Caenorhabditis elegans: one gene and its partners. The protein of the gene in region 1 interacts with the protein of each later gene in a pairwise test. Each region holds a gene or a part of one and is shown in the gene's direction. Other genes may lie near its edges.

Region 1 (6,723 bases):
TTGACACACTTCATCTGATTGGTTCAAAAGCAAACAGAGCTTAATGCTGATTGGATACGTTTTCATCAGTATTTAAATATTTCCAGATTTGTGTCATGCACATTCTCCGTTTCTTCCTCATCTGTGCCAACATTACCATCGGAGTTTTGGACAATGATTTTGACGGTGGCGTGATTGTCTTGGTATCTGGAATGCCGGTGATGCTGATTCTATCGGCTGGACACGTGTTTTTCTCACTACGCCCTCAAGGATGATCTCTAGTTCATTATCAAATAAATATTTTAAAAATGAAAAAAATAACACAACAAAATTTAAGCCTGGCGTGACTGGCGTCCCTTGAAATGATCCATAGAATGAGTGATTCCAAAATGATCCCCGTATAAGTTGAGAACTTCAGTTGGAAGAAGTCTGAAAAATCATAAGTACGTTTAACATAAATCTGAAATTCAATAGGAACTTACCCTGCAAGTGCAATAAAAATGTAGCTAAACTTTGGAATTGCAAGGAATGCTCTGTCGGTGAGAACTGCCTCCATTATGCAATCGACAACATATTCTGGTGAAAGAATTGGAAGAAGTGTTGGCCATTTTGTGGCAATTCCATCGAACATTCCAGTATTTATATAAATTGGGCAGACTACAGTAGTCTTCACATCCTTTTTTAATGCGTACAACTCAGACGCAAGAGAGTCATTAAAACCAACAGCTCCGTGTTTGGATGCACAGTAATCTACCTGAAAGCTTTTTAATTTTAAATGTCTTTATTTGCAGAATATTTGGCCTCCCAACGAAACGTATGAAACACCATGTAATCTAAAAAAACAATGTAGGCACAGGGATGCCTACGTACCTATCTACACACAAGTTTTTTTCGACCTTTTGTGTAGACTAACTTAAACCCTTTAACTTTTCGTGGCGCGGTCAACATTTTGTTTTAAATCACTTACCAATCCAGCAACACCACACTTTCCAGCCATTGAAGCAATTGTTACAATATGCCCTTTATTCGACTCGAGCATGCCGGGAAGGAAATTTTTGGTAGTCTGGAAAATTTCGGTATTCTCTTTTCAACAAAAGTCATATCTTACAAAGAACAAAGCATTTGTGTTAACTGAAACAGTCTTGACCATCAGCTCATCTGGACATTGCAGCAACTTTTTTCCTTGAAATGTTTTTATGAAAAGATATTATGGGAATACTAATTTCTGAGAATGCGTATTGCGCAACATATCAGACGCGCAAAATATCTCGTAGCGAAAACTACAGTAATTCTTCAAATTACTACTGTAATTTTTGTGTGAAGTAACAATGGGTTCACTGAACCTTTTCGAAAGTCTTATCATTTTATTTATTTTATTGATTTTTGTTTTCTCTCTTTATCTGGCATATTTCGCTTAAAATGAAAAATATGTAATACGCTAAACTTCGTATGTTTCTAAATCTCTACAGTATGCAATTAGCAAGGGATGTGCTTTTTTGCCAGTGGGTCCCGCCGCGCCATTCAAATTCATTTAATTAATACCATGTGTATTGCGACTCTTCATTGTGTCTTCGAGACCCGAAGAACTCGGGGGATGTCCAATTGGGGGGATTACCAACTCGGGGATTGGCCCCGCCCACAGAACCGTGGCTTGCAATACGCCCATTTCTGCAACTGCCGCACGGTTTCGAAACTGTATTTTTCTCAATAGAGCGAGATTTAACAAGAAAAATACAGTTTCAAAACCGTGCGGCAGTTGCAGAAATGGGCGTATTGCAAGCCACGGTTCTGTGGGCGGGGCCAATCCCCGAGTTGGTAATCCCCCCAATTGGACATCCCCCGAGTTCTTCGGGTCTCGTGTCTTCTACAGGAAAAAATTAACTCTATAAGGAACAAAATTATTATTTACTGTGTTTTTGTATTGTACATGAATTTTTCAGAAGTTTGGATGTTTTCAGCCGACTGTACTTACCCGTCACAATTCCAGCGTTGTTCACGAGAATATCTACTTTCCCTACTTCACTTTTAACCAAATCGGCGGTTCTATTGATTTCTTTGTATTCCGATAGGTCCACTGTGTATGCTTTAGCCTGAAAGATATAGAAATGAAACAGTATACAAATCGCAGAGACGCAGAGAAACGCACAACGACACTCCGAAATGACGATCGCGCGTTGTTTAGCGTGTCATTTGAATTTGTACTTTTTCTCATTTGCTTACCTAAATTTATTCAACTTCTCTTTGTTTCCCATTTTTGAGTAAAATATTTTTAAAAAAGCCATTTTCAGATTCTAAATCGTATTTTTCTGTAAATAGATGAGTAGCTCTGCGTCAAAAACTCAGGAAATAAGGTATATTCTTCGTATGAATAACTAATTGCTAAAAACAAAATTTTCAGCGTCGTCATAGATCCCCGTGATGCGCTTACAAACAGCACCAACGGCAATAAACCAAACGGCCCAAAACCGAAAGTAAGATCAGAAAAGCGGTAGTTCGTGAGAAACTAGAGCAGAAGGGGGTAGAGGAAAAAACTAAAGCTAAAAAAATAACTAGAAATTAGTGTTTAATAAAACATTTTATTTTCTCCATCCTACTCACCCAACCATGCTTTATCAACCATCTTTGTTAAAAAGTCGACTTACTCCTGCTCCGCCGGTAATTTTCGGAAAAAGTGTATTTTTGGTTTATAATAAAATTCAGGGGTTTTCTTTTCAACCTCAGCCTCTATTGAACTCAGATATGGATCCAGTCAGAAATTTAGAAAGTCTAGGGAACTACACGGTGTATCAAGATTCTTCTCAATGTTTTTGGCAACATCAAAATTTTACCTCCAATCGAGAGCATAACCCCGCATTAAGGAAGGTTCTATTTTTGGAAAAACGTTTTAATTTCTTAACACTTCAATATTTTAATTAAGATCTACTCATTCCTTGTAGTTTCAGACAAAGATTTGCGATCACTGGCGACGCTCGGGCAGCTGTTCGTATGGCGACGCGTGCTGGTATGCTCACGGTGAAGACGATCTTCGTAAAGTGGTCAGTTAAGCAGCGTAGGAAACATCAAAGAAATCTGGTTTTTCAGGTCCGGATTGATCGTTCGAACGAAGAAGAGAATGAGCGACCGGCTACTGCTGAAATTCAAAAGTCGCCGACAAAGCGTGCATCAACCAACGTCAAAGGATTAACAGTGAATATTCCATCGAATACTGCCTTCAAAGAACAAAACTCTTCGATGCCGTTATCTCCAGCTCAGGAAAGATGGATTTCCATGTCAATTGGAGCTGTACCACCACCAACCAGCTCAGCTGCAGAGAAGGATGCGATTTCATCATTATCTAAAAACGGTGTCGAGCAAGAACAGGAAAAGAAGCATGAAATATGTTCTCGTGACGATGATATTGACGATTACGGATTTTTGGTTAGTTTTGTAACTTCAAGAATAACTTTCGGTTGAAACTGAACAACTTGTTTTCAGTCTCCGAATCCGTTCCCATACCCGCAACAGTCAATGTTCTCAGCTGGATTTCCATCTCATGGACACCATCAACGTTCCTCGAATCGTGCTACGCAAGGGGTTCCTTCTCAACAATTTGGAGGTATAGAGATTTCACGAGGTTTTCTCGAATTTAATGAAATGAGTCTCAGCCCGCTGAAATTTTTATGGTAGTCTTTTTGAATTGTTGCGGCTGATTTCTCGTTTTCTTGAATTTTTCAAAACAATGACTTAGTTTTTATCAATCTTTATCGTTTTCTATTCATTTTTTTTGCTAAAATTAGTTTAAATCAGTTTTTGGAGTATAAATTAAAAAAGACTATCATAAACTTTTTATACGTCGAGACCCTGAATGAATCCGTGCGCCTTCAAGAAAACATGTCAAATTCTAGTGAAATTACGACAAGTTTTTCTTCAGAGATTTTTTAAATCAAAATTCATTGTTACAGGGCCAGTCAACATCCCTGGTCAAGATCCGAATCGTTTGGGATCTGGAGCATACCATATCCCACCACAGCACCAAAGATCAAGATCCAATGTTCGTACTTCACGAGAGGTCGGCGGTCCCCCTCCGCAATTTCAACAAGCGATTTGGAATGTTGCTGGTGAAATCTATCAACGTCAGAAGGACATAGAGATAGGCGGACAGAGAGTTGGACCCAATGATCGTCAACCGACTCAACAGAAAAATTCGGAAATGGATCGACTTTTGTCTAAACTGAAAATGAAAGATTTGAACTACCTTCGTTTTATGATAGAGCGAGGATATATCAACGAGCGTGACGTGTCTAGGCAAACTTCGGTGAGTGGTGTCTCAGGTTTTTCTTTTTTCACAATTTCTTTTAGATTTAAAAAAATTCAAACAATTTTTGTTCAGAGTGATCAAATGAGTAATGGTCATCACTTCAATGCTCCTATGACCCCACCATACCATCCACGACTTGCAGGAAACGGTAAGATTGAAATCAACCAAATAAATAGGAAAATTGATCGAACTATTGCATACATTTTAGAACCAAATACTTCGGACTGTCATTACCATGGAACTGGAAATCGTTTATCAAATTTCATGCCAGGACGTCATCGTCCCCCACATCAACATCCAATCCATCATCATCATCAGTCACAACATCAGCTACACCAGCATCAGCAATATCTGCATCATGCTGCTCAGCAATACCGTTATTCGCATCAACAGGGACCTCAACATCCGTTTGCGGCTCTTCTCTCACCACCGGAGATCTCGGAGTCCTTGCTCCCACCTGATGACTCGTTTTCGATTTGGCTCGAGCCGAAGCCGAAAAAACAGTCCGGAGCCATGACACGAACTCGCGGAGCTGCGACGATCAACGAATCGAGTTCTGCGGCAAGTCTGCTCACAAAAATGGATGCTCTTCGATCAGACAAGTATCCAATTACAGACGAGGAAATGATGATGGCTAATGATTTTGTGAGACAAGGCGATCGAGATGGTATGTTTATTGGTTAATTTACTCGAAAAATTTCTATAAAAATTTATAGTTCTGAATATCCATCAATTTCAGATAAACTAAGCTCCAGCGAAAGCTCAAGTCCTGTCGTGATGTCTTTGATGGAACTATTGAGCAACGAGAATCTGCTCGATCAAGTAGCAACCGAAAAACCAAAGTGTTCTATGTTCGATTTTGATACTCTAAAAATCGCCGAAACTCTCAAGGAGCCACTGCAATCTTCCGAATGTTCAACTACAACATCAAGCAAGATGACCTGCTCTCCAATGTTCTTTTTCGTAGATGAAAAGACACCAAACTACGGTAAAATTTTTTTTAGTATTTGAGTAGAACCTCCAATATATCGGCTATTTTTTAGACGGCTCAGGATCGAAAAGCCTTTTCACTCCGTCATCATCGGCCGGCCAGACGCCTTCATTCCTGGAACCTTGCGATTTTTTTGCAGCCACCGGATCGTGCCCCTTCGGTGACGCCTGTCATCAGAGTCACTCGATTTAGGAGGACCAGCGATGATTTTAAAGCCCATTATTGTAATCATTTTCTCATTTCTCACCCAATTCAGTTTCTAAATTTTATACTTTATCATTTTGTCCTTTTTCATCGTAATTTTTGTTCTACTCGCAGCTCTTCTTTAGTTTTTTGTATGTATTTAGGGTTTCTTGTAGAGGATATGGATACTTCCAGCTTTTTCCCACCCACATAATCTTGTTTTCCTCAAGTGATACGGATACCATCCACAAAAGTACGATATTCATAATTTAAATTTTGTATTTTTCTTCACTTTTTGTTCCATTTACACTTGTTTTCATTATTTCTAACGAGCCCGCGCCGCTCTTGACACTAGCTTTGTAATAGTAATAGTTAGCTGTAGTTGTAGTAAGTTTTAGCGAACATTCATCTAATAAATCTATAAATGTGAAAAATGTTGCAAGTCCAAACCTCAACTCCCATCGCTTCCAATTCTTTGAGTGTTTCTTTGTTTCCTTGCTCGTTTATATCCCATAACACTAATCTTGCACCGAGTTTTCCGAACTCGAAGGCCATCAATCGGCCTAATCCACTTCCGGAGCCAGTGATCAGCACAGTTTGTCCTGAAACTTTTAATATTATTTCCTTGTGTACGTGATCCGATACCTCGAACGTCTTTTCGTAGTAGCCATCCCATTGGGAAGCAATTTCTAATTGTGGAGATAATAAGAAGACATATGGCATGTAGAGTCACCACAACACTTTCTAGAATATCCTGCATCTACAAAATCGGAAAATTGAGGGAATTTTTAAACCAAAAATTAAAACGTATTGGTTTTCTTGAAAAGTTTCTGGAAAAAAGCTAGAATACAAAAAAAAAGAATCAAGATTGAGAAATCATATAATGAAGAGTTTTTGTTGACTGTACACGCTTTTTCTCTTATCATTCAACATTTTATCAGTGAATAGACCATGTTCTGTAAACATTTTGATAAGAGATGGAGAAATAGTGTTGGAAATGAAGAGAATTAGATAGAAGGTAGAGTGGAGCCGAGAATACAGAATTTTGAAGTTTTTGATTCATAGTTTTGGTCGAAGAAATGCACTGAAAAAAAGTAAATTATTACCCATACGCGCAATGTTGCGATTTTTGAGCCAAAAATACGGTAACCGGTCTCGAGACGCCTTTTCAAATGTAAAATACAAATGTTTGTGCTCCTTTAGAGGGAACTGTAGTTTCAAACTTTCGTGTTTTTGCAGAATTGTCATTGATTTTTCATAATTTTTCGATTAA
Region 2 (9,083 bases), on another chromosome or scaffold:
AGTCTAATTAAGAATGTATGAAGGAAAGCAGTCGCAAAAAACCAAGAATTGACAAAACTATGGAGGACTAACGAGATGAAAGTCTTCGATGAACGGAGGGAGTTGTCGTCGGAAAAAAGAAAGAGTAGGAGCAAAAGGGAAAAGGGATGACACGATGAGATGACAGCAAAATCTGCAAAAGTGAGGAGACAGAAAGCTTGTAGGAGCAAGAGGAAGCTCCAATTTTTTCCGAGGGAAATAGAAATCAAATCAACGAATTGTGAGGGAGTCATGATGATGATGATGATTATGATGGTTTTGGGAAGAAACATGGGAGCATCTTCTTCTGGTTTTTGGTTTCCAGAATATGATCTTGAGGGCGAGTGCATTAAACTTTCGGGGTCCAACAGTGAAAATTCATATTACCGTTGTTAATATTAGTCTTGAACTCCAACTGCTCCAGCCCATATATTGATTAACTTTGGTTTGATCCAAGTGATCAACTTTGAAAATTGATAAAATTAAAAGCCAGGATCAAAGTCATCCTTTTTATAGACCTGGACGCAACCGTACCATAATCTTCCAATTGGGTAAATGGAATGAAACAGTGAATAAATCTGCTAAAATTCTACAAAGAAATGTCTGCTTTCAAAAATAAATTAATGGATCCACTTACTCACAAATGACTTCTACAGTCTAATTTTTTTTAAGTTTGAAAATTTAATTTCAAACTATACTGTTGTACTTCTCATTGCTAGATAATTTTTCCGCTTTTTGCCATTTGATAATAATATTTTGATGAAAAAAACATACGCTATCTTGAATATGGTTACTTTCAAAAACAACTGGCCGTATGTGTTCTACTCAAAAGTTTCTCTAAATTTAATAGATCATTTCGGTAATTACAATTTGTTTTATGAGGTTATAATGATTAGTATCATTCAATAAATATACTTGAGCATGATGAGAGGAGAAGTGCCAAAGGCTTGGGCACAATCCGTCGTTATACCACTAGGGAAAACTACTAAACCTAAAGACTCAAAAGACTTTCGTCCTGTTAGCCTCACGTCAAATATCTGTCGAGTATATGAGCGATGCTTACTGAAAAAAATAGAACCGTATCTTAGAGAAATCAATTTTTGGAATGAGAACCAGCATGGGTTCAGACCTACAAAATCAACGATCTCTAATCTGATGAATAGTTTGAATGACTGGACAAGCAACCTAGATCTGGGAGCCCAAATTGACGTCATATTTAGATTACAGCAAGGCATTTGACAGAATTCCCCACGACATTCTCCTCAATAAACTGATACGCCTGGGACTGAATAAACATATCATAGTCTGGATCAATAGTTTTCTAATAGAAAGGACATTTAGAGTTAAAATAGGAAATACACTATCTACTGTAAAAAACGCTAAATGTGGGGTTCCGCAAGGCGCTGTACTCTCACCAGTTCTTTTTGGAATTTACGTTAATGAGATCCCAACAATACTGCCCGCAAATGTTAAAGTGCAGCAGTTTGCAGATGACACCAAGCTGTATGTACACACGCCAAAAGGCGACCAGATTAATAGTCTGCAAGAAGCAATAGACAGAGTAGCAAATTGGTCCGTCAGTAACAAATTGGCTCTTAATGAACAAAAAAACCGTCCATCTCACGATAGGGAAAAAACGCCAAAATTTCACTTATAAGATAAACGGCCAGGATATCAAAAAAGAGTCAACGACACGTGACTTAGGTTTTATGATCTCTCATAATCTGGATTTTAGTGAACACTGGAAAAAGGCTATTAATTCCTCGAAATTTCAAATGTCACAAATTTTTAACCATTATAACAGTAACAAACCAAAGCTGATGATCCTATTATATAAAACATTTATTGTGCTTTTGCTAGAGTACGGAACCGTTATAAGTAGCCCACCAAAGCAGTCAGATATAGGAGCCATCGAGGCAGTTCAAAATTCGTTCACAAGGCGTCTATATAGTAGGACTGTAGGCAAATACGTCTCAATAAGTGATCCGGAATATAAAACCTCGACAGAAAGAAATGAATTATTTGGGCTCACACCGCTGCAAGGACGACGTCTGACAACCGATAAAAAAATGATTTTGAAAATGTTAAACGGTAAAATAGATCTGAAAGTACCTGAATTTTTTACCTTCTCGGACAACACTAGAACGCGTTGTAAAAGAAAGTTCTCTTGGAGCAGATGTAAATTTAAAATTAGGAAACATTTCTTCGTTAACAGAACATTAAGCCAACCGTCATTCCTCAAATTTTTATCTAATTTAAACAAGGATAACTAAGTTAGGAAACGAACGACATCTACTCTTGATCAATAACATTCATTCATTACTATCCTATGATATCTCCTGTTTTTTTATCCTACTCCTTCTCATGCTCTTTTTCTACGCCTCAGGTTCTTTCACTTTGCCCATAATCTCCCAGTCCACCCTCCGACATGAATCTTTGTATGTATCATCTTTTTTCTTTTCACGCTTCTTCAAGAACGTAATAAATTATTATTATTGTTATTATTAAATGACTACAAACATTCTGATTACATTTCCCTTTTTTTAAACATATCGCAGCATTTCTACGTTTAAATAATTCAATTAATTATTTTTAGCGTAACTGAGTATTTTAGTTTAACCACAAATTAAATCCCCTTTCAAATCGAACCCACAATTTTTCCAACCCAATTTGGATTTAGTCCGTGTGTTCGTGTGGGGTTCGCCAGTTGAACTGCTTCTCTAATTGCGATTATCGCCACCCGGCTTCAGAGTCCGTCCAAACTCGATTATAGCTTTCGCTCTCCACCGATCACTGAATTCGTTGCCGTTAAGTGTAGAAGCTCAGTTGAAGAATAAGAAGACGGAAAGAAGAAGCTGTCAAATAATCTAATTTACTTGACTCTCTCAAACCAATCCAAATCAAAAAGAAGGCGTGGCTACCTAGCTCTTCTGGCGGAAAGATGGGTACGGTGGTTGGGGCCGGTGGTGAAGGAGGAGGAGCAGCCGGAGGCGGACGGCGACCAGTCAGCTGCCCCTCTCTTCAGAAGCAACCCTGTCCGCCTCCACGACGACGTCGACAACGACTTCGGTCACCCCTCACTTTCCACATTTCTCCGCTTTCACTCACACAATGAGCGACAATCTGCTGAACGGTGCGAACGGAGCATCAACTGTCTCACAGGTAATTTGCTAACTAATTCTAGTCTCCGAGGCCCTCGACGCAAACGAAATAAACAGTAATACGATTTGGTGGCGCCGTCGGTCGTCGCCGAGAGCTCCATAATTAACTTTTCTGGCGCGCACAATATTCTTCGTCTCCTGAAGACGTTGTCGTTTTTCGGAAGACGACTGGGAGGAGTCCAAGTGTGTGTGTGTCTTCCCCTCATAAATTCATTATGGAAATTTGATTGTTAGATGCTCTCACGATCAGTGGCACACACACACACAAACCTCCTCAGTTGTCTTCCGGAGCTGGTATCGATAGCCTTCCAACTTTTCTCGCCTCCAATTTCCCTAGAATTATTGTTCAGCTCGCCATTTTAATTGATGTTAAAATCAAAATCACAGACTACCGTACCATGGACATCAATAATTTAATTCACAAGAAATAACTTTAGACATGGGTTTGAAAAAACTAAAAGTCCCACCACAAACACCGCTAAAGATCTGATCTTGGTGTGTTCAATCCTAAAGAAGCTAATGTTGGACGGGGTTCTAGATAATGATCATACAATACCTCGACACTGATGTCTGATTTTTTAGTCACAAAAAAGTTAAAAAACCAACTGTATTAGTTTATATTAGTTTGTAAGTGGAACCGAACATTTTGAAAAATAGATCTTAAGCCGGTAGAATCTCTGCTGAAAAACTGTTAAGTCACTGAATTTTTATTAGTCTTCTTGGCGTTATGTTTTACTTTAAAGTTCTAGTGTTACTGTGGATTTCCTTATTACCGTCCTTCCATTAATCGATTCCAACAGATTCCTCAATTCACCTTACATTAGTATAAAAACGTTCTACTGGAACCTACATCATGATCTATATTTTCAGTTCCAAGAAAAAGTGAAAGATCTTGGAGTATCTCTTCACGATTTCACTGCCTACTATCCGAGCTCTTTGGATACAGTCTCGGCAAGTCTTCGTCCAATTTCGGATCCATCATCAGGTTAGTCTCTACATTCCATCTTCTTTTTTTCTACACTGGTAGGGAGGAGCTTCGCTTTAGCAAGGCGAACAAAATTACATCAGAATATATCAGATTTGCGGAATCATATTTGATGTCTCTCCTTCGTCGTCCGCATGCCAGTTCATTCCTTGCATCAGTGCCTTCTAGGTTGAGCAAAAGGTCCTTCTGACCCTGAGCTTCTCTTATTATTTCGTTTGATATTCTCACCTATCCCAAGATTCAGCAAAAACCACTTCAAGTGTTTTCTTTATTAGTGTTGCGCAATAGCTTCCGCCAAAGGTATCATGCTGTGTTAGTACAACTGATACCCTTACCATGTCCCCCCGCCTTGCTCTTCCCCTCCTCAATGGTACTTCACATCTCTGGAGCATGTGCCACCGAGCCAATTATGACGCCTGTTGCCAGATGCTCACTCTTATCCATCCGTTCTATTGTATCCACTAGTCTTGACTTTGTGCGCGAAGTGTCTCTCTTCTTATTTACTATTTTAGTACTTGTGTGAGCAGATTTAGGAATTAACAACTCAATCTAACAATGTATTATTATGGTAAGACAATGTAGAGAAGGGTGTCATATTTCTTTGATTATTCCTTGCAATTCACACTAAGAATTTCGAAATTCTGCATTCCTCCGAACATCTGCCCACTTTCCATTTTTAAGCCTTAAAACTGGTGATGTTGCAGATGGCGCCTTCAAAAAGATTAAAACCGAAGGACTCGGTGGCTCGGTATTTGGATCTTCGATTGCTGGGGTCACGAACACGCCTGCAAGGTGAGTATTCTTAATATTTTGGAAGATAGGGGTACGGTAGATGTAGAAGGGATTTGATGTATGTAGGTATTCAATGTCAAAATAAGGCAGTTATCTAGATTTCATTTATTGAAACTACTCCAAAAACCCAGTTTTTTAAAAGTAAATTTGGCTATTTACCAAACCCTTGACAAAATATGTTTGCGTTTATTATTTTTTTGGCCACTATTTGGCCAAATTTAAAAATTTAGAAAGCCAAATATAATTATACAACTTGAAAGAGCCAAAATTTGACTTGTGCCGCCTATATTTTCATATCTTCAATTTCTATCAATAGTCAAGTTAATTTTCAACAAACTCTACCGTACTTCTCACGTATTTTCTTGCCTTCCCCCACCCACCTAGTGCTCCACGGCCTTTCTTAATTGCAGGCTGTGTAGCCTAGAACGGCCCGAATCAGAGCGTCTCAATTCCAGGCGGAGACATCGGACGACATTCACTCAGGAACAACTTCAGGAGCTTGATGCTGCATTCCAAAAGAGTCACTATCCGGATATCTACGTTCGAGAGGAATTGGCAAGGATCACCAAGTTGAATGAAGCTCGAATACAGGTGAGCTTCGAAATTAAACTGTATGCTCAATTTGTGAGACATGTGCTCTAATTTGTTGTTTCTTTCTCTTCTTCATATTCTTTATCTTCTTCCTCACTTCTTATTGGTATTCATCTCGCGTTAATTGCTGCCTTTGGATAGTTGTCTACCACCTCCTGGTCACCTACTGTGCGCTAAATCCACCACGCACCATCACACATCTGGTAGGGATTAGATATTGAGCTTGTGAAGCTGAGAAGAACAAATTGAGACAAAAAAGTCAATCTGCCATAATAGGGAACTTATACAACTTTTAAAATTAAAAATTAACATAGATGTACAGAAATAATATATAATTGATTAAAAACCATCTTGAAAAGTTTGATGAAGGAATTTCTTTGAAGTATCCGTTTGTAGAGAAAAGAATGCACACATATTTGGTAAACGACAATGTTCAGCCGGTAATAGTTTTTTGGATTGTTCAACTAAATTGAATATAATTTTCGAATTAATCTGATTTTTTTCTGCGTTTCGAGCTTTATTTCTTAGTGCTGAAAAGATGGGTTATCGTTCCTAAATTGACGGTTTTGTGGAATTACCAATAATGTTTTCAGCACATCTTTGACTTCAAATAAGCTTCTATTTTTTGGTGATTAAGCTTTCAGTTCTGACTGTTTTCTTTGCGATCTACTGATGTAAGTTATCTTTTGCTATTTATAAAGTTCTCTGAACTTTTTTCTATTTATAGAGTTCTCTGAACTTTCTAATAAAACAAATAAAACTTTGCCTAGATTCAATGATACATGCTTAAAACTTCTCACCCTTTCTGATTTTTTTCATTGTCTACCTACTTCCATATCCGTCATACGGTATCCTTTTTTTTTAAATATTCATAATAATAATAATAACAACTCAAAACTAGTGCCTTTGAATCTCTAAAACTCTTGTTCAAAAGAAACTCTCTATCACCAGTCTACCGTAACCCATCGTCTTCTTCTCTTCCAACATCGGCGTCTTTGTTAGGAGGCAAGCAAATTGAATTATGCTCTGCCTTTGCCGCTTTCTCAATATCCTTCCTCACCACAGCTTTTCCCTTATTCTTGAGCAGTCTATCAACATTTAGAAATACAGAAAAAGGAAATGAAGGGACTTGATAAAAAGAAAAGAGAGTGTAGCGAGGAACAGAAAAGGAAAGGAAGGATTAAAGATCCGGAGACAGTAATACTTTATGACGTGACTTTTAAAAACTTTCTTTGGTTGGATTGTGTGGGTATTAAGATACTTTTGAACTTTGTAGAATCTGAAATAAATACTCCAATTATTTGTTTACATACAATCTTGTAGAATTTGGTTGTCGTATATACCCAACAGTATACATTATTTTAATACTAAATTGCGTTTTTAATTAATTACTAAATTGCGCCAAAATCACATTTATTCATTTTTCCCTGATAATTTTAAATACAATGTTTAACGTAGAATTATAAATTTAAATACATTTCTGACTCCAATTCGTAAAATTAAAAAAACAATGACACACTAATGTATTACTAGATATCTTGTTTCTAGATGTAAGGATTTCAGGATTACTGTAGCGTATTCACACTTCCTTTACTTATTGCGTAACAGTTTTGCCACCTGGCTGTCTCTACTCCATCCCTCTAGATCTGACTTGATCATACTCATACTCCCCACTAATTTCTCGAGTAATCCAATTTTGTTTGCAGGTGTGGTTCCAAAATCGGCGAGCAAAACATCGGAAGCATGAAAAACAATTGAATAAGGTAGGAAGATGACGAATATATTCTGAATTCATCAAAAAAGTTATTTACAGGCAATCAATCCCCCGCACTCATTCCTATCCAATCCAGCGAATACTTTGATGCGACAAGGAATGTACCCAGCTGCATTGAATCGTGACGGTTTTTGGTATCAATCATATCAACGACCAATGCCATACCCAACAGCTTCTCCTTCATATTCCAACTCGTTCACTAATCCCATTGCAAAGTTTGTTCGTCTTTTTACTGTGGGATAAATATTTCGTTAATTTCAGTTTCGGTCATTCCATCACCTCTTTCCAAGCTGACGACGAGTTCTACCAGAAAAGTTTGGCACTTCGAATGACGACGACACCATCGGCCGCTACAGCTGCTACCTCACTTGCTAATATTAACTACCAGCAGACACAACCATCTGAAGCTAGTACCAACCCTCCTTCAATCTAGTCATTAACATTACAACCAGACATTTCTAATCTCCAAAGTTAACAGAAAATCCAATAATTTATGATTGCGTGTGAAATCAATTGAACAAATAATAAAGAGATCTCACTGATAGACTAATGTTGGTACGTACATTTACAAAAAGACAACGGTTTCCAATAAAAATGTTGAGAAATATCACAAAGGAGTGGGAAGTCTACGAAATGGAATGTTTAACGCGACTGATGATAAATACAATCTTACAAAACTTATCTGCCTTCTTCCTGTATTAAATATCCGGATCCTTTCCCGTTCCGCGTGTCACAAAATCACTTCTATTTGGTTTTGTCTTGTTAGAGAAATTTTGAGTAAACACCAAAAAAAAATGATTTTCGTATTTTATGTGGTTACCAGCCGCTGACCGCGCCTACGGCGCGGCCAACTCGTTCTCAGCACACTGCATTCAGTAGCGTACTCGTTCTCAGCACACTGCATTCAGTAGTTCTGGTATTGTTATCACAAAACATAATAAATAAAAATGACATGAACCGCCCATTTTAAAAGGAATTTTTTTGTTTCCATTAGGGAACAAGATAAATTCTTAATAGAATTTGGTGGCGGTGAATCGTTGTGGACAATCTTAGTCGTGATTCTATGAATGATCTTAAATCAAAACTTCCTTCCATGAAATTTTTTGCAAAATCGAATTAAAGTTAAGTAAGTTAAGTAGAAATAACTGTTCTATCTTATTATCTGAATGCTTATTCTATGTGGTTTTGTCTTGTAGGAGAAATTTTGTGTAAAACACAAAAAAACGTTTTCGTCTTTCATGTCGCTTTTTTGCACAGTGCAGAAGGTGCTGGTACAATTTTTTGATACGGTAGCTATATGTCTGGAATTGTTAAAATGTTAAGTTTTTGCAGTTTGATCAAAATGACTGCAAGCAAAGTTATAGTAATTTAAAAATTAGACCTGAAAAATCTTGACATTTCGAAAAATGTATGTTAAACATGTTTAACGTTAGTATTTTTGTTAGATTTTTGGCATCATTATTTAAATTTTTACGTAGATTTTATTTTTCGAAAGATTTTATTAAATATTTCCCTGGAAACATATGAAAAAGACAACAATTTGTGAACTTTGTGAATTTTGGAAGAAAAATTTAAGAAAACATTTCGTTTTTCGTTCAAAAATCCAAAACGTTTCACAATTTTTATTTTCTTGACCAGTTTTTTGTTAAATTTTCAATTTGATGCTCTAATTGTTATTATTAATGCTATGATAAATAGGGAAAAAAGATTTAGCTCAATACGATAATTATGAGCACCGTTGCGGAAGTTTTGAGCTTCCAGC
Region 3 (7,607 bases), on another chromosome or scaffold:
TGAAAGGAAAATAAGTGGAACAAAAAAATCACAAGCAATTGCTTTTGAGCTTCCCGACAAAACTATGATTTGACTGCAAATAATTAATTCACGAACGTTTTGAAAAATTGTAATATGGAGATGTGGTAATCTGGTATCTAATCATTTACAAACAATACAAACGAGTTGAAAAATTTCCCCGTAGGATATATACTAATCTTTGGAAATTTTTAACTTTACCTCTAAAATTAATTTTTTTTTTCAAATCTGATTTTTTTCTGATTTTTTTCAAATCTGATTTACCCTTTTCCAAAAATTTATCATCTTTCTTCATAAACGTTTCGAAATGAGTTCACCCCTACCGTCCACCGATTTTTTGTGCTCCACATGCATGTCAACCTGGAGCGGAATAAGAAAAAAACAGGCCTCGCCGGGTATTGAGAGCCGCGAGAGTGTGTTTGGGTTAAAGAGAGTATGCGCGGTAGCCGCGCGGAGGGCACCGCCTCCCGGTCTGTCCACAATTATTTTTTTGCTTTTTGTGCTGCTGCCGCCGGAGCCGGTTACAGGGAGGGGGCTCCATGAGTCTTCGACGACACTGAGCAACAAGCATTCAATGTCAAAAATGCTCTCGAAATACTCGAAATTCGTTTATATTTTATACTTTATGGCATTGCCATCGAACTTTTTTTGTTACTTTTAACAGTGATTTGTATTGTTGAAGTTTGTTGTATTAGTTTGATCAGTTTAATCTAATGTATGCTCAAAATTTTTACGAGTTCAAATCCATTTTTTTAACAAATTTCATCATGACCTGTTTTTGAGAAGATACTTGAAGGCAATAAATTTTTTCCAAGGCTATTTCCCTTTATCATTATTGCCCTAAAAATATTTTCAATCATTGGCAGACTCTTCTCATATATACCGATACTTTTGATTATCTCTCTATTTGTTTATTCTCCCAACACTATTTAAAATTGCCAATCAAAAATCCTTCACAGTCCTCGAATTGCAAAGAATCGGAGCCACTGTCCGCCTCGATATGACATTGTTTAAGTATTGGGCCACCGGTCAAACAGTGTGAAAATATATATCGGACGGGAGATGGGGGTGCTTGTGGCGCAAGGTGAGAGTGCTCCGAGGAGCTGAGCCAGTTGTTTTGTTTGTTGCTCGCTCGGCTTGGCAGACAGAGAGCCTTCACTGGTGCCGTACGGTAGCCGGTCACTTGGATGTTTGCAAAACGACTTCAGGCGCTCTGGACCTCTGCGAATTGCCGCTGCCTCATTTTTGACGAAAAGCACAAAACACCAAGTCAAATAATTCTCGCGACAGCAGGGTATTTTTGTCATTGTGGAGATACAACGCATGTGAAAAAAAAACAATAATTCTCACAATGATTTTAAGTTTTCATTTCCCTTTTGTTTCTTGATAGGCAGCTCACAAAAAATTGCTGAGTGCGCTTTTTTATCAGCAGTTTAGTTCGCTGCTTCAAATTTCACTTTTTTTAAATGTTTTCTTTTTTCCAGCGATAAACACGGGTTACATGATTTAGTGATTTATGATGCAAATCGTAATCAATCACGAGAATTTTAGACTTATCAATGGCTTAAACTGTGGCACTGAAATGCAAAAGTTGAGCATATCAGAATATTATCAAATACGTAATTTTTTTGCAAGTTTATAAGGCGACAAACAAAATCAGACAGTGCGTCATAATTTCTTTGCAACATCAGCCAGCTAAATGTGTTTTGACTCCAGGGAACGTTAATGGACAATGAAATCAAAAAAAAAATAGGAGCAAAAATCGACCCACGCATCATCACAATTCCAGAGAGAATTGTGTGCACTTTCATACCGATTGATTCTTAGGATTTTCATTCGTCAAGATAGCTTGTTAGTTATTAAAACTTATTACCTTAGAGTCCACTACTTAGTATAGACTTGAAACACATTTCAAAACATTTCAACCGTGTCATTATTTTTCAATTTATAGATTCACCCATGTTTCTGGTCCGCCACGTTGTAGCTTGTTTATTCAATGACGTGCATTCCCAATTTCTAGCAATAAACCTGTTTCCAATTTTCATGACATCCTAACTCTTTATAATGAAAAAAATTGTGCACAATGCACATTCTTTTTTCTTCTTTACCTGTACTCCTTATGTAGTATGAATAAGAAAAGGTTTGTTCATTTGCATTGAATTATGGGGGGATGGCGCGGCGTAGTTTGCACCATTGAAAGAGGTCCCATCGTGTCTGACACGACCAACCTGACTCATCAATTTTAGAACCCTTCCCCCCCCCCCCCCCCACCCCCACACTTTTGTTCAAGCTCAGTACATTTTATTTATTATTTTATTATATTCGATCGGCTCAGTGATTGATCTTTTTTTAGTTTTTTAGTCGATGTCTTGCGAATATGTATTTGATATCGTCTTTTCAACCACAAATTTTTTCAAACTCTTCTCACGTTTTATTTAATGACGTTTCAGTATTTTGTCAGCAATTAGATCAGTTTTCAATTCAATATTGAATTGGTGTGCAACATGATTCACTGATAAAAATGGGCTTTTGCCCCCTAATTGACGCAATCAATGCTAACTCTCCAACAAACATATTTCGTGTAATAGATCATCGAGTTTTCAATTCAGTTTTCCATTGGCGCCATCAATTTCATTTTGTTACTTATCAGCTTATTTCTGGAAAAGCTTGGTTTCATGTGACACTGAGCGAGGCAATGATTAGGAGTGTCACACTAGTCAACCTCACGCGCGCCAGAAATCGCTTGACGCTCTGCTGATAACTTTTCCGAGTCGAAGCAAAAAAAGGGGTTGGGAATAGCGAAAATTAGCGATAAAATAAAATTTGACTGATTAACAGTGCCACTTTATTCGTTACTACTCTAGTGCACAAACAGGTCGACACTACTCTTCGGTCTCGACTTAACCTACCATCTTCAGTACTAACTTTTATTACTATCTCACTTGTACTGTTCAATATGACTGCTGCTTATTGTACGTATACCCTCTCTCATCATAGTGTTTATTTGAAAGATAAATCTTCTAATTTCCAGGCGAGACCCAATTTCATGGTTTGAACCAATTCGCGTTCCCGTTCAACAACTTGGAATACAAGTACGGAAGTTGTAAGTCTGACGGTTGGAATTATAATATTTCCAATAGTATTTTGTCACTCTAGATTCTTCATCAATGAACGGTACTGGCTCAGTCGGTCACAGATGGAATTCTCTGAGCCCGGAGCCACATTCCGGAACGGAGTCAACCGCAAGCACTCCTTTTGTTAAAAGCGAGTTCCCATTTGATGATGATCTATTCGGAATCGACCAGGTAAGTTTTTGTCTTCTTCTTTTTTGAGACCATGTGGGTGTGGTTGCGTTAATTATTTTATGCCTGCTCTGAAAACTGGTTATGATTACCAAAATTGAAGTTTGAAATAAGAACGTTTTTGGGAAAATGAGAGTAACAAACACACCTTACTCATTTTTATCAATCAGTTGAATCATCAATGTTTTTTTAAACGCAAGTTAGCTTCAATAATTTTTTGCTATTTTGAAATTTAGTTTACTTTATTTGTTCTCATATTCATTTTCTTTCACAGTAAGACACGTGCGTGCTATTTACGTCATAGATGCGATAATTGATAAGACCCGATTGATGGAGAAAATAGAGAAATAATTTTTTGAGTGACTTTTTTTGCATTTTAATCACGTTGGAAACAATCACAATGTACAACTATTTTAGGTAAACAACGTCAAACCACATCCGATGGATATGCCATGCAATCTTCCAATCCAACCCATCGAGTATAACCGTCGATTCTCAAAGGTAGTTTTACTGATTATCACACTGACCCCTCTGTATTATTATAATTTGCAGGACGCCGATCACAGCACGTTTGTGAAGAATGAGATTGAAGGTTGGTACTTTAGATGGATTAGATACATACAAACACCATTAACGACTGTTTTGAATGGTGTCAATCATAATCTCGGGTTCTTTTAACGCCTTCTTCTCCCTTTCGGACTTTCACTATCCCTTCATCGAAAAACATCTCATTTCGTTTGGCGGGAGATACTATTGAGAAAACACGTTTTCCTTCGATTAGGGTAGTTAGGCACAGGTCAGCTTTTTCTCTGGCTGACGGCACGCCTGGATTGACCAGTGAAAGTTTTCCAAGCGGCTACCGAATTAGTTGTGGGTCGGGGTCATGTTTTTTTAAGCTGCTTTGGCTAACCACAATAGAAAACAAAGTTGTGACCCATTACAAAGTAAAAAAGAAAAGGGCTTAGATATTAGGAAGATATGGAAATGTGTCAGGGTTAGAAAAGTGCGGGTGATACATGGATATGCATCAATGCTTGTTGTTTGAATGTTTACCACGAAAAAGTTCCAGAAAACATTCTCAATTTCAATGTCAATCCGGAGATTGCGCAAGACAACGGTCTTGACACCCAGCAAATTGACATCTACAGGGACCTGATTCTCCGTCATCTGATTCAAGACATCAGTACAACTTGTGCCAAATTGGGACTTCCAAATGGTACATTACTTATCCACAATACCTCATTTATATTTTTGGTCTCTAGATTTCTACCTGTGGTCATCCGAGCATGGAGCACGATGGATCAACGAGATGTGCATGCAATTCAATCTTCAGCCGCCTAGAAACTGTTCAATCACTGGTATTGATTTGCTCGGCATGAGTCAAAAAGATTTCGAAATGATTTTGCCGGCGGGAGGCGACACGTTGCATGCCCAACTCCAAGTGTGGAAGACCGGTACGTCAGATTACGTGAAAGGTGATGCGATTAGCATGACTATAAATCACGCCCTTTTTCTGATTGTCATCATGACGGTTATCAGTGACATGCTCACACGAAAACGAGACACCAATCCAATTCAATTTCAGCATTTGAAAACTATCATCCACCCGTGACCGTTCAGAGCTCCGGAATGACCGCTGCCGAAAATAACATGCAGTCAAAAACTAATTGGGTATGTAAATGTTGATTATGTCATTCCTCAGAATTTTCGGCGCGCAGTCTTTTTGTACCCCTATTTGCTCAATGCGTTTTTTTCATAAAGCCTTCTCGTATTTTTAGCTAGCCAGCACCAACAATCAAACAAACAACATGGCAGCTGCTGAGAACCCGAATCATCCATTTTTCAATGGAAACGGTTGGTTTCGAACCGGAAGCGTTTGATGTGAATAAGTAAATTGTATTTATAGGAGGGTATCCAAACATGTCGATGAGCAGCTTCTTTCAACAGGGAACTGTTTTGCCATCGCCAAGCAACAGCGATACCAGCAGCAATGGGAGCAGTCAAGACAGTATGACACGGGCTTATTAGTACTGTAACTAATTCAGAGTTTTTTAGTGAATGACGATGATATTGATCTTCACATGAACAATTCGAACTGTGGTTTCTCAAACTTCTTTCACAACCAGGGTTACATGAACTCCCCTATTGACGCAATGTGCAACGGAAGCGAGGGAGATGACGATGAGCGTGCCTACACTCGTCATCAAGGAACTGTTCATCTGTGGCAGTTTATTCGTGAGCTTTTGGATCAACCAAAACAGTACAGTGCATGTGTTCGATGGGTGGATAGAGATGAGGGAACTTTTAAAATCGAGTCTTCCCTCCTGCTGGCTAGATATTGGGGACAACGAAAAAACCGTTCACAGATGAATTATGACAAGTTGTCCAGAAGTCTTCGACAGTACTATAAGAAAGGTAAAAAGAATAGGAGGAAGTGTAAAACAAAAACGTTACAAATCAATATTCCAGGAATCATCCAAAAGCCGGAAAAGAAGCAGCGTTTGGTGTACAAATTCCTGCCTCCTTATAACTTGTAGTCATCTGGCAGAAAGACAACGACGTGTTGCTATCTGTGTATGTGTCAATACTCTGTTTACATTTTTCAACTTGTCCTGTCGGTCCAGTGTGGTCCCATTTCCCGATATCTGTGATTCAAGATATACTTCCATGTACTGTTCGTTGTAGAACATATTCCTATTGTGTCCCATACTTCTTTTTAATACCCGAGTCAATCATTCAAGGTTTTATTCAACTTCTTTATTTTCTTTTTTTTTCTCATTCTTTTTCAATTGTTGGGAACAATCAAAAAGTATTACAAATGTTATTACCATTTAGAGTGTGTAGTTCAGATGTCTGAATATTGTTTCACTCGATTTATTTATTGTAATGCAATATTTACCGGTTTGAAACCGTGCAATATGTTGTTCTCTATTTATTCTCGTTCTCATGTCAGAACTCTTCCTCTCTCCCAAATACTTTACCAAATAACGGCTCATATATCCACCAGTGACAGAAAAATAAGCGTTTTACTGAACTGTTCCCGATTGTATTTATACCAATATGATTATGTTAATTATAACAATTATAATATTGTATCAAAAAAATGTTTTAATTTTACATTCCATTTATACTCCAGCCTCCTTCCCCTGTTTACTAGCCTAGTTATCCCCCAAAGAAATTGTATTACAACAATGTGTAGTCCCAGTGTTTTTTTATATCATTGTGCAATTATTTATTCAGATTGTATTATATATTAATGAACCAGATAAATATTTTTTCAAAATATAAAACTTGGCTTTTAGCAAAACTAAAGATAAACATGAAAATGAAGGAAAGCTTTGAAAAGATGAATTATGAAACACAACGAATTTCGAATTCAACATTTAATTTCTCAATCAAAGTAGATCATCCTAGATATCCCATTTGATTGAACGACTCTGTATCCGATTGTGCAAGTCCAAAGGTCTCATAATCTGTGAAGAATTGCTGAAACAGAGAACGAAGGGTCATTACGTCAATACTTTTTTTGCTGAGCTACCTGTCCATTTCCATTATCATTGAGTGACATTTGTCCTCCGGCAGTAAAATAGTGTGGCTGATGGAGAAACGCTGAAAAGAGCAAAGATAAGCGGTGACCACGGATGGCTTGTTTGCGGTTACATGGGAATCGCAATGCAAAACACAAAAATCATCAACTGAAATTGATTGATACTTGCGGAAACTATAAGACACATATGAATGTAAATTTGAAATTTTCACGTAGAAAAACCTGAAAATAATTACATTTATCAAAAAAAAATGCCAACACATCAAATATATCGACATTTTAAAATAACCTTCTCGATGTGAAAGTTTTTTTGAAATCACCAATTAGATTTTAAAACGTCATCTCACAAAACGATAAAAATAATAAATATGGTTTTTTTTTCTAAAATTGATATATGATGAATTTTTAGTATTCAGTAAAAGGAAGATTTCTAGAATATATAATTTTTAAAATTTTAAGACTGATTATTTTTATGTTTAAGTTTGAAAATGGGAAGTTTTCCGTTTTCAATTCAAATTAAATTTTTGCTCGTGTAAGTACCATTTACAAACAAGTGTTTAAAATTTGTTTTCAAACAATTAATGTGGACTTTTCCTAGATTTAAAATTATTTTACTTTTTTCTAAAATTATTTCAGCTTGTCAATAATAAAAATTTGACACAATTAAAATCTACTAATTGAAATATTATTGGAACTTCAACACATTAAAATAGAGAAAAATTAAATGACACCGCTCTCCT
Region 4 (5,978 bases), on another chromosome or scaffold:
AAAAAAGTTTATGATAAATACTTTATTTTTAATATACATCTATTCAAATCAAGATCAAACTTCGTACTCATTCCTAATCGTTTCAAAACAATGTTGTTTCATTAAATTTCCAATTTTTTTGGTTTCATCATCCTCGAAAGATTTTCTTTATCATGTTATTGGTTTCTATCTTTCATTTTCCTCCTCTTCCCATACCATGTCTATCTTTCCCGCACACGTGCGATTTTGCAGTTATCTCTGTGTCCCACGTGTAAGAATACGTCCTCTTCGAAATGGGCGGAGCGATGGGTGTGTTGGCAACGACATAAGGACATTTTGTAAGAGCCAGTATGACAGGGATCTAGGTATAAAAAGAGAATAATAGAAGATGGGTAAACTCTTAAACAACCACAATGGCATCTACTATGAAAGCATACACAACTCAAAAGGCTCTGAAGACTGTCGTTGAGAACTTCAGAAAACCACGTCAATTATTCGTTTATCATCCAATTCAATTTGAGATTAATGGTACTTTCCCAGCTACAAAAACTTCTTTATTTTCAAAAAATGTTAATGGAACTACTTATTGGCTTGCAAATATGACAAGTCTGTATGAAAGGTTAGTTTATTGAAGTGAAGTAGTGCGTATACAGTTCAGATTCAGAAATTTCGATCAGACTGTTTAGTAAATTTATTAGGGTAATTCTAAATTTTTTTGTATAGAAAACTGAACAGGTAATCCAAATTCAAATGTGTTCCATTTATTTTGATACAAATATAGGTGCCTATAAAACAGGCTTACCGCCTGCCTAGATAAAAACTATTTTTCAAATTAAAATATTCAGACGAGTTACTTTTTTTTTGCGGAATGTGTATTGGTTTACTTGGTTTCTAACGTACCGCTAACCAACTTAAACTGAAAATTCGAGGAAAATAGGGAGAAGAATACTGTAGATATATAAAATTTCTACAAAATTTAAATTCTTTTTACCAAAACCCAAAAATTTTCGAAAACGAACGAGTTACTGTACGAAGTTTGTATATATGCCCGCATAAACCTAGATAAGTAAGGTTAGAAAGCAACTTGAAATTTTCAATGTAGAGAATGTATTTGACTTGCCAACAACTTTGCCATTTCCTCCCGTTTCAAACTACAAAAACATGAACTTTCAATACATGGGACAATTACTTTATAAGTAGGTACACGCGACCCTAAACTTTGTTCACTTTGAAAAAAAAGTGAATTCCGTTTTAAATGTCCATGGCTGACTACATTTTTCCGTATCTTCACTCATGTTTTTCCGATTCGACCGTAATATTTGATAAGATCAAACATTTCCATGACAATCCATTCCTAAACCAGTTTTTCTTCATTTTCAAAAACATTTTTCAGTATCACTAAAGACCTTTTCCCACCTTTTGCTATCTCTTTTTTTCAATTCGAAATTGACCTTCGCACCTTTTCAGAGACCGTCAAATTCTGACACACGATGGAAAGTTTCGAGAAGAAGACTTTCTGGCGGTTTTTGATGAATTCTGTAAAACAAATGGATTGTTTGCTGGCTCCAATGCTCCATCAACTGTAGCCGAGAAATGTTACACTAAAGCGGTAATACACAATGAAAACAGAACAAAGGTTAATAGATAAGAAACGTTTGATTTTAGATTGAAAAGTACATGAAGAAAAACAATATTAATGCAGAGGTGCAAAACAAATCAACACACTTTTTTGCAATGAATGAAAGTCAAATTTTCAAATATAGAAATTATGGTGATACAACATTACCTGATGGATACTCAATTGATATACCTGAATCAACAAATGATGTTATGAAGATTGTAGGATCATCTATCACACCAAATGCAAAATTAGTAGAGTGAGTTTTTGGATCAGGAAATTAAAAACCAACAGTACTAGATTTATATCATTTTCTCACAAAATCGAGAAATCGTAAAACAACAGTTACATGGAAAAATAGGAATTTTTTTCAGAGAAAAACTTCGACGGTTCCCATCGCTCTGCGTTCGTAAAGGCGACGAACTTGTTGGATTCATTTCTTCAGAAACTCACGGAGCACTTGCTCATTTGCATGTCTTTGATGTGAGTTTTACTATTTTCAAATTGAATATTTTCAAATCTGTTTTTAGGGGCATCGTGGTAAAAATCTTGGAGAGAAGTTGGAGATTGGAGCTGCTAAAATGGCTATTGAGTGAGTGATTTTTTGACAAAGGACTGTGGAAAAATGATAATATTTTAGAAATGGAATGCGTCCATGCAAGTTCATCGACACAACAAACAGTTTCTTCTTGGAAAAAGCAAAAAAGTCAAAGTTGATGGATGTTGTTGAGTCCAATGGAACACCGCTAGTTTTCGACCAAAATGTTTATTCCCAGGCGTCAAATTATGGAATGCACAAGTGATTTTAATAGGAATACAATGAACTTACAATAAATCAAATATACATGTAAATATTGAATAAAAATTCGAATACCTTCCAGCAAGTATATTTGCAAAGTAATGTTCTTTTACAGCTAGATTTTGGTCAGACAGTGTTGTTGAAAATTTTTTAGTCGAGAAAATCTAGTTATTCGCTGTTTATGAGTTACTTTTTCAGACAATTACACAATTTCCATGCTTGCTAAAAAAAAATTATTAGTTACAGTAACCTTTAAAGGCGCAGCAGCGGGGAGTGCACATCTCAAACGAGTGTGACCGTAGTCATTGGTGAAAATTGGCAACATTTTCTTGCAAGTTTTTTGACTTTGATTCAACCATAAATTTCAGACTTAATTCTAAACTTAAGTATTAAAAAATAATTATTTGATCTTATTTAGCGCGCATTGCCGCCAAACATTGACTTTTTGTTTCGAAATTTTGGGACAGAGATGGTTTTCTTCAGTTTTCTTTTGTTCAACAACATTTGGTTCTGTTCATTCATTTATTTCATTCAGAAGGATTTTGGCCCGTTTATTTGAATTTTAAAAGAGCTTATTTCTGAATTACGTCGCTTAAAACAATAATTTTATACCGTTTTGGCGCATTCGTTTTTTCTCGTTAAAAACTTATTTCTTTCATTCTTTAGACGGTTGTTATTCATTGCTCGCGGAATCTTACCATTTTTAAAATTTCTTTAAATTTCAGGGAATCAATTAACCGAGCACCCCACGCCTAATCACTAACCACCCATTTCCCCTGCACTACTAACGAAATAATGGATATGCTCAAGGAAAATGTTATCCAGAATAATGAGTGAGCCACTTTTATCATAGTTTCTCAATTTTAATTTTCTTTTTTAAGGGCTCGTACAGAGTCGAGTGTTGAACCATCGCATCCCGATATGATGGAGACTGTTCCGGAAGAACAGCAAAAACCGATTTCTCATATCGACGATTTGCTTTCCGAGACCGCTAACCTGATGGCTGTCAAGGAGCAGCTTCTCAAGGAGATTGCTGAGTAATTCTATAGGATAAATGGACTGTTTCTTAAATTTTATCTTCTCAGAAACGAGCATATTCATTCGATGCAAATGAGAGCTCTTCAAAATCTTCCACAGGAAGCTATTCTCCCACTGCAATATCATGCTGATCCAAGACGCCGTCACCGAATGCAAAAACCGGAATCGTACAAGACTGTCATATGTCAGGCTTGGTTGGAGTCGAAGACATGTGCTTTCGCGGAGAACTGTCGTTTTGCTCACGGCGAAGAGGAGCTTCGTCCATCTCTGTTGGTTTGAACATTGAATTAAGATTACACAACATATTTTACAGGATCGAGGCACGTCAAAACAATAAGTACCGGACGAAGCTCTGCGATAAGTACACTACTACTGGGTTGTGCCCATATGGAAAACGCTGTCTTTTCATTCATCCGGACAATGGACCAAATGCATACATTCGAGCCGATAAATTGTTCGAGGTAAGATAACTTTTTAATTTTCCACTTTAATCAAATCTTCAACAGGTTTCGCAACGTCATGCTTTGGCCGACCTTCGCGATCAAATGGAGCATCATATCATGAATGGAGGTCGTTCTACAGCCGGCCCTCAACAATTTGATATGTTTGCAAGGCCATGCACACCAGATGAGCCAGCAGCAAATATGCCATTGGGTCCAACCCCAGTTAGCATTCGTGGACCACGATACGAGTTGCCATCGAAGAAGCCACTTGAGACTGAGGGTATGAAAATTGAATATTGATGATTAATTCAAAATAATTTTACAGAAGCCGGGAATCGCCCACCATCAAGCTGGCCGTTGGATCCATCAACTTTCTTCGCATTGGATAGTCTGAATATGGCAACTCGTCCAATCAGTCCGTTTGAGTCTATGCTTATTGGAGCAGCCGGGAACATGCAATACTCTATGCTTGGAAAACAATCAACACCGGGAGGAGTTTCGGGATATTCTTCCTCTGGATCAACTCCGTCTCAAGATAGTGATTCGTCTCCACTCACAGCTGCTTCTGCTGCTGCAGATGCTGCCTGCCAAGCCAACTCGGAGTCTGCTCAGTCTATTCTTCTGAAGTCTATCAACAATCCGATGATTGGAAACGAGACAACTCTTCCAATTCCTGGACTTGATCAACTTGCCATGGACATTGCCAAGCACCTTGAATTGTGGTGAATAACCACCTCCTTCCCCATCTATTTATACATTTTGTCAAATTGCCATACGTTTTTATGTCCCATACTAACTATAATAACGCGCGCAATTTGTAAATATAATAAGCTCAATGTTCCTGTCATATAGAAAGCACGCTCGCTCCCCCCATCTCTCGCAGGCTCTGAAACTAAACTTGAATTATTTTGCTGCATTTTATTATATCGGATATCATTGCATGTATTTTCAATTCCCTCCAAATATAAATTGCTCGTATCCTCTCCCCACACTAACAATCAATAAACTTTATCGAATGTCAATCAATGTTTTTGAAGACCATCTGGAAATAACGTTTTTTCACGAAGATATCTGATTTTCAATTATAGAATTGCAAAATAATTTCTGAAATGTTTCGTTTGACAAAAAAATATTTTTTAATCTTCCCTCCAATTAGTTTCGCGACAGGGCGCATTTGCTTCGTCCAGACGAGCGTTAATTTTTCAACAGATTGAGCGCATTCTTTCTTTTAAATTATTGTTTGTGGTTTCAGGTGAAATAAATGGGTAAATTGAATCGATTAGCACTTTTTCATCGTTCAAGAAGGCAATGTGCTTACTCACCGACAATTATTACACGTGAAAGTAGTAGGTAAACGATAAACTAAGAAAATAAAATAACTAATTTTTTCAGCTCCTTTAACATCGACGAGGTAACACAAAATTTTGAACAAAGAACAGAGTTTGCCGCTGCAAATTATCGAAAGAATGGTCAGATTTCCTTGATAATAGTTCTAGGCAAAAAAATATTTTTCAGGCAGTCTATTTCGTATGGTTTTACCCCCGCCAAACGTAACTGGTAAACTGCATTTGGGACATGCTCTAACAGTTGCAGTGGAAGATGCTATTTGTCGACACCAGAGAAATCAGGGAAATAAAGTAAAATTTCACGAAAAATTAAGATGCTTATTTTTATGTTTTCAGGCCGAATGGATTCCTGGATTTGATCACGCAGGAATCGCCACACAAGTAGTCGTGGAAAAAATATTGGCAAAAAATGGAAAGCGACGACTTGAGATGACACGCGAAGAGTTTGTGAAAGAATGCCATTTGTGGGGTGAAAAATGCTCATCTGAAATTCGACAGCAATTGACTCGAATGGGAGCTTCTCTCGACTGGACTCAATCATATTATACTCTCGATTCAAAATTTTCCGAAGCCGTCACAAAAGCTTTTTGCATTCTTGAGCAAGAAGATTTGATTACACGTGGCAAACGATTAGTTCATTGGTGTCCAACACTATCATCTACATTATCGAGTCAAGAAGTAAATCGAATTGATGTTCCATCTGATGGTTACATCAATTTATCGTCGTCAAGTGGAACACGGAGAAGAGTGAAGTT

What was found.
Region 2: the proteins of gla-3 (region 1) and unc-42 interact in a two-hybrid assay, tested with the Caenorhabditis elegans proteins (one large-scale study listed by BioGRID).
Region 3: the proteins of gla-3 (region 1) and ets-4 interact in a two-hybrid assay, tested with the Caenorhabditis elegans proteins (one large-scale study listed by BioGRID).
Region 4: the proteins of gla-3 (region 1) and oma-2 interact in a two-hybrid assay, tested with the Caenorhabditis elegans proteins (one large-scale study listed by BioGRID).

The regions. Positions count from the first base shown.
Region 1 is NC_003279.8:8,212,115-8,218,837, forward strand, and holds gla-3 (C3H1-type domain-containing protein), read left to right. Parts: upstream 1-2,583; coding exon 2,584-2,634; intron 2,635-2,679; coding exon 2,680-2,841; intron 2,842-2,915; coding exon of another isoform or gene 2,916-2,921; coding exon 2,922-3,014; intron 3,015-3,060; coding exon 3,061-3,396; intron 3,397-3,453; coding exon 3,454-3,574; intron 3,575-3,920; coding exon 3,921-4,273; intron 4,274-4,348; coding exon 4,349-4,424; intron 4,425-4,484; coding exon 4,485-4,943; intron 4,944-5,015; coding exon 5,016-5,264; intron 5,265-5,319; coding exon 5,320-5,459; downstream 5,460-6,723. Other genes in the region: T02E1.6 (uncharacterized protein), read left to right, coding at 87-254; Protein dhs-3, read right to left, coding at 312-408, 462-733, 947-1,042, 1,088-1,161, 1,952-2,069, 5,901-6,173.
Region 2 is NC_003283.11:9,763,316-9,772,398, reverse strand, and holds unc-42 (Homeobox protein unc-42), read left to right. Parts: upstream 1-3,042; 5' UTR 3,043-3,129; coding exon 3,130-3,180; intron 3,181-3,233; exon of another isoform or gene 3,234-3,371; intron 3,372-4,049; coding exon 4,050-4,164; intron 4,165-4,646; exon of another isoform or gene 4,647-4,719; coding exon of another isoform or gene 4,720-4,732; intron 4,733-4,868; coding exon 4,869-4,956; intron 4,957-5,366; coding exon 5,367-5,547; intron 5,548-7,253; coding exon 7,254-7,310; intron 7,311-7,360; coding exon 7,361-7,536; intron 7,537-7,582; coding exon 7,583-7,754; 3' UTR 7,755-7,865; downstream 7,866-9,083. UniProt on the Caenorhabditis elegans protein: Probable transcription factor. Required for initial outgrowth and pathfinding of axon growth cones along the ventral nerve cord (VNC).
Region 3 is NC_003284.9:6,516,058-6,523,664, forward strand, and holds ets-4 (Transcription factor ets-4), read left to right. Parts: upstream 1-2,878; 5' UTR 2,879-2,974; coding exon 2,975-2,990; intron 2,991-3,049; coding exon 3,050-3,121; intron 3,122-3,174; coding exon 3,175-3,323; intron 3,324-3,737; coding exon 3,738-3,821; intron 3,822-3,872; coding exon 3,873-3,912; intron 3,913-4,025; exon of another isoform or gene 4,026-4,234; intron 4,235-4,389; coding exon 4,390-4,536; intron 4,537-4,582; coding exon 4,583-4,774; intron 4,775-4,905; coding exon 4,906-4,991; intron 4,992-5,098; coding exon 5,099-5,174; intron 5,175-5,226; coding exon 5,227-5,328; intron 5,329-5,375; coding exon 5,376-5,735; intron 5,736-5,789; coding exon 5,790-5,857; 3' UTR 5,858-6,599; downstream 6,600-7,607. Other genes in the region: Homeobox protein ceh-60, read right to left, coding at 6,726-6,806, 6,859-6,929. UniProt on the Caenorhabditis elegans protein: Transcription factor which binds to 5'-GGAA/T-3' DNA consensus sequences. Both positively and negatively regulates the expression of target genes. Plays a role in the regulation of adult lifespan, which may in part be through modulation of daf-16 activity.
Region 4 is NC_003283.11:8,026,318-8,032,295, forward strand, and holds oma-2 (CCCH-type zinc finger protein oma-2), read left to right. Parts: upstream 1-3,121; 5' UTR 3,122-3,191; coding exon 3,192-3,229; intron 3,230-3,277; coding exon 3,278-3,433; intron 3,434-3,481; coding exon 3,482-3,703; intron 3,704-3,747; coding exon 3,748-3,895; intron 3,896-3,940; coding exon 3,941-4,157; intron 4,158-4,202; coding exon 4,203-4,603; 3' UTR 4,604-4,897; downstream 4,898-5,978. Other genes in the region: F43H9.4 (Glycine N-acyltransferase-like protein), read left to right, coding at 393-598, 1,447-1,588, 1,645-1,856, 1,972-2,080, 2,128-2,189, 2,238-2,400; vars-1 (valine--tRNA ligase), read left to right, coding at 5,139-5,227, 5,270-5,346, 5,393-5,514, 5,560-5,978. UniProt on the Caenorhabditis elegans protein: Zinc-finger RNA-binding protein that binds to 5'-UA[AU]-3' motifs in the 3'-UTR of maternal mRNAs to suppress translation in oocytes and embryos.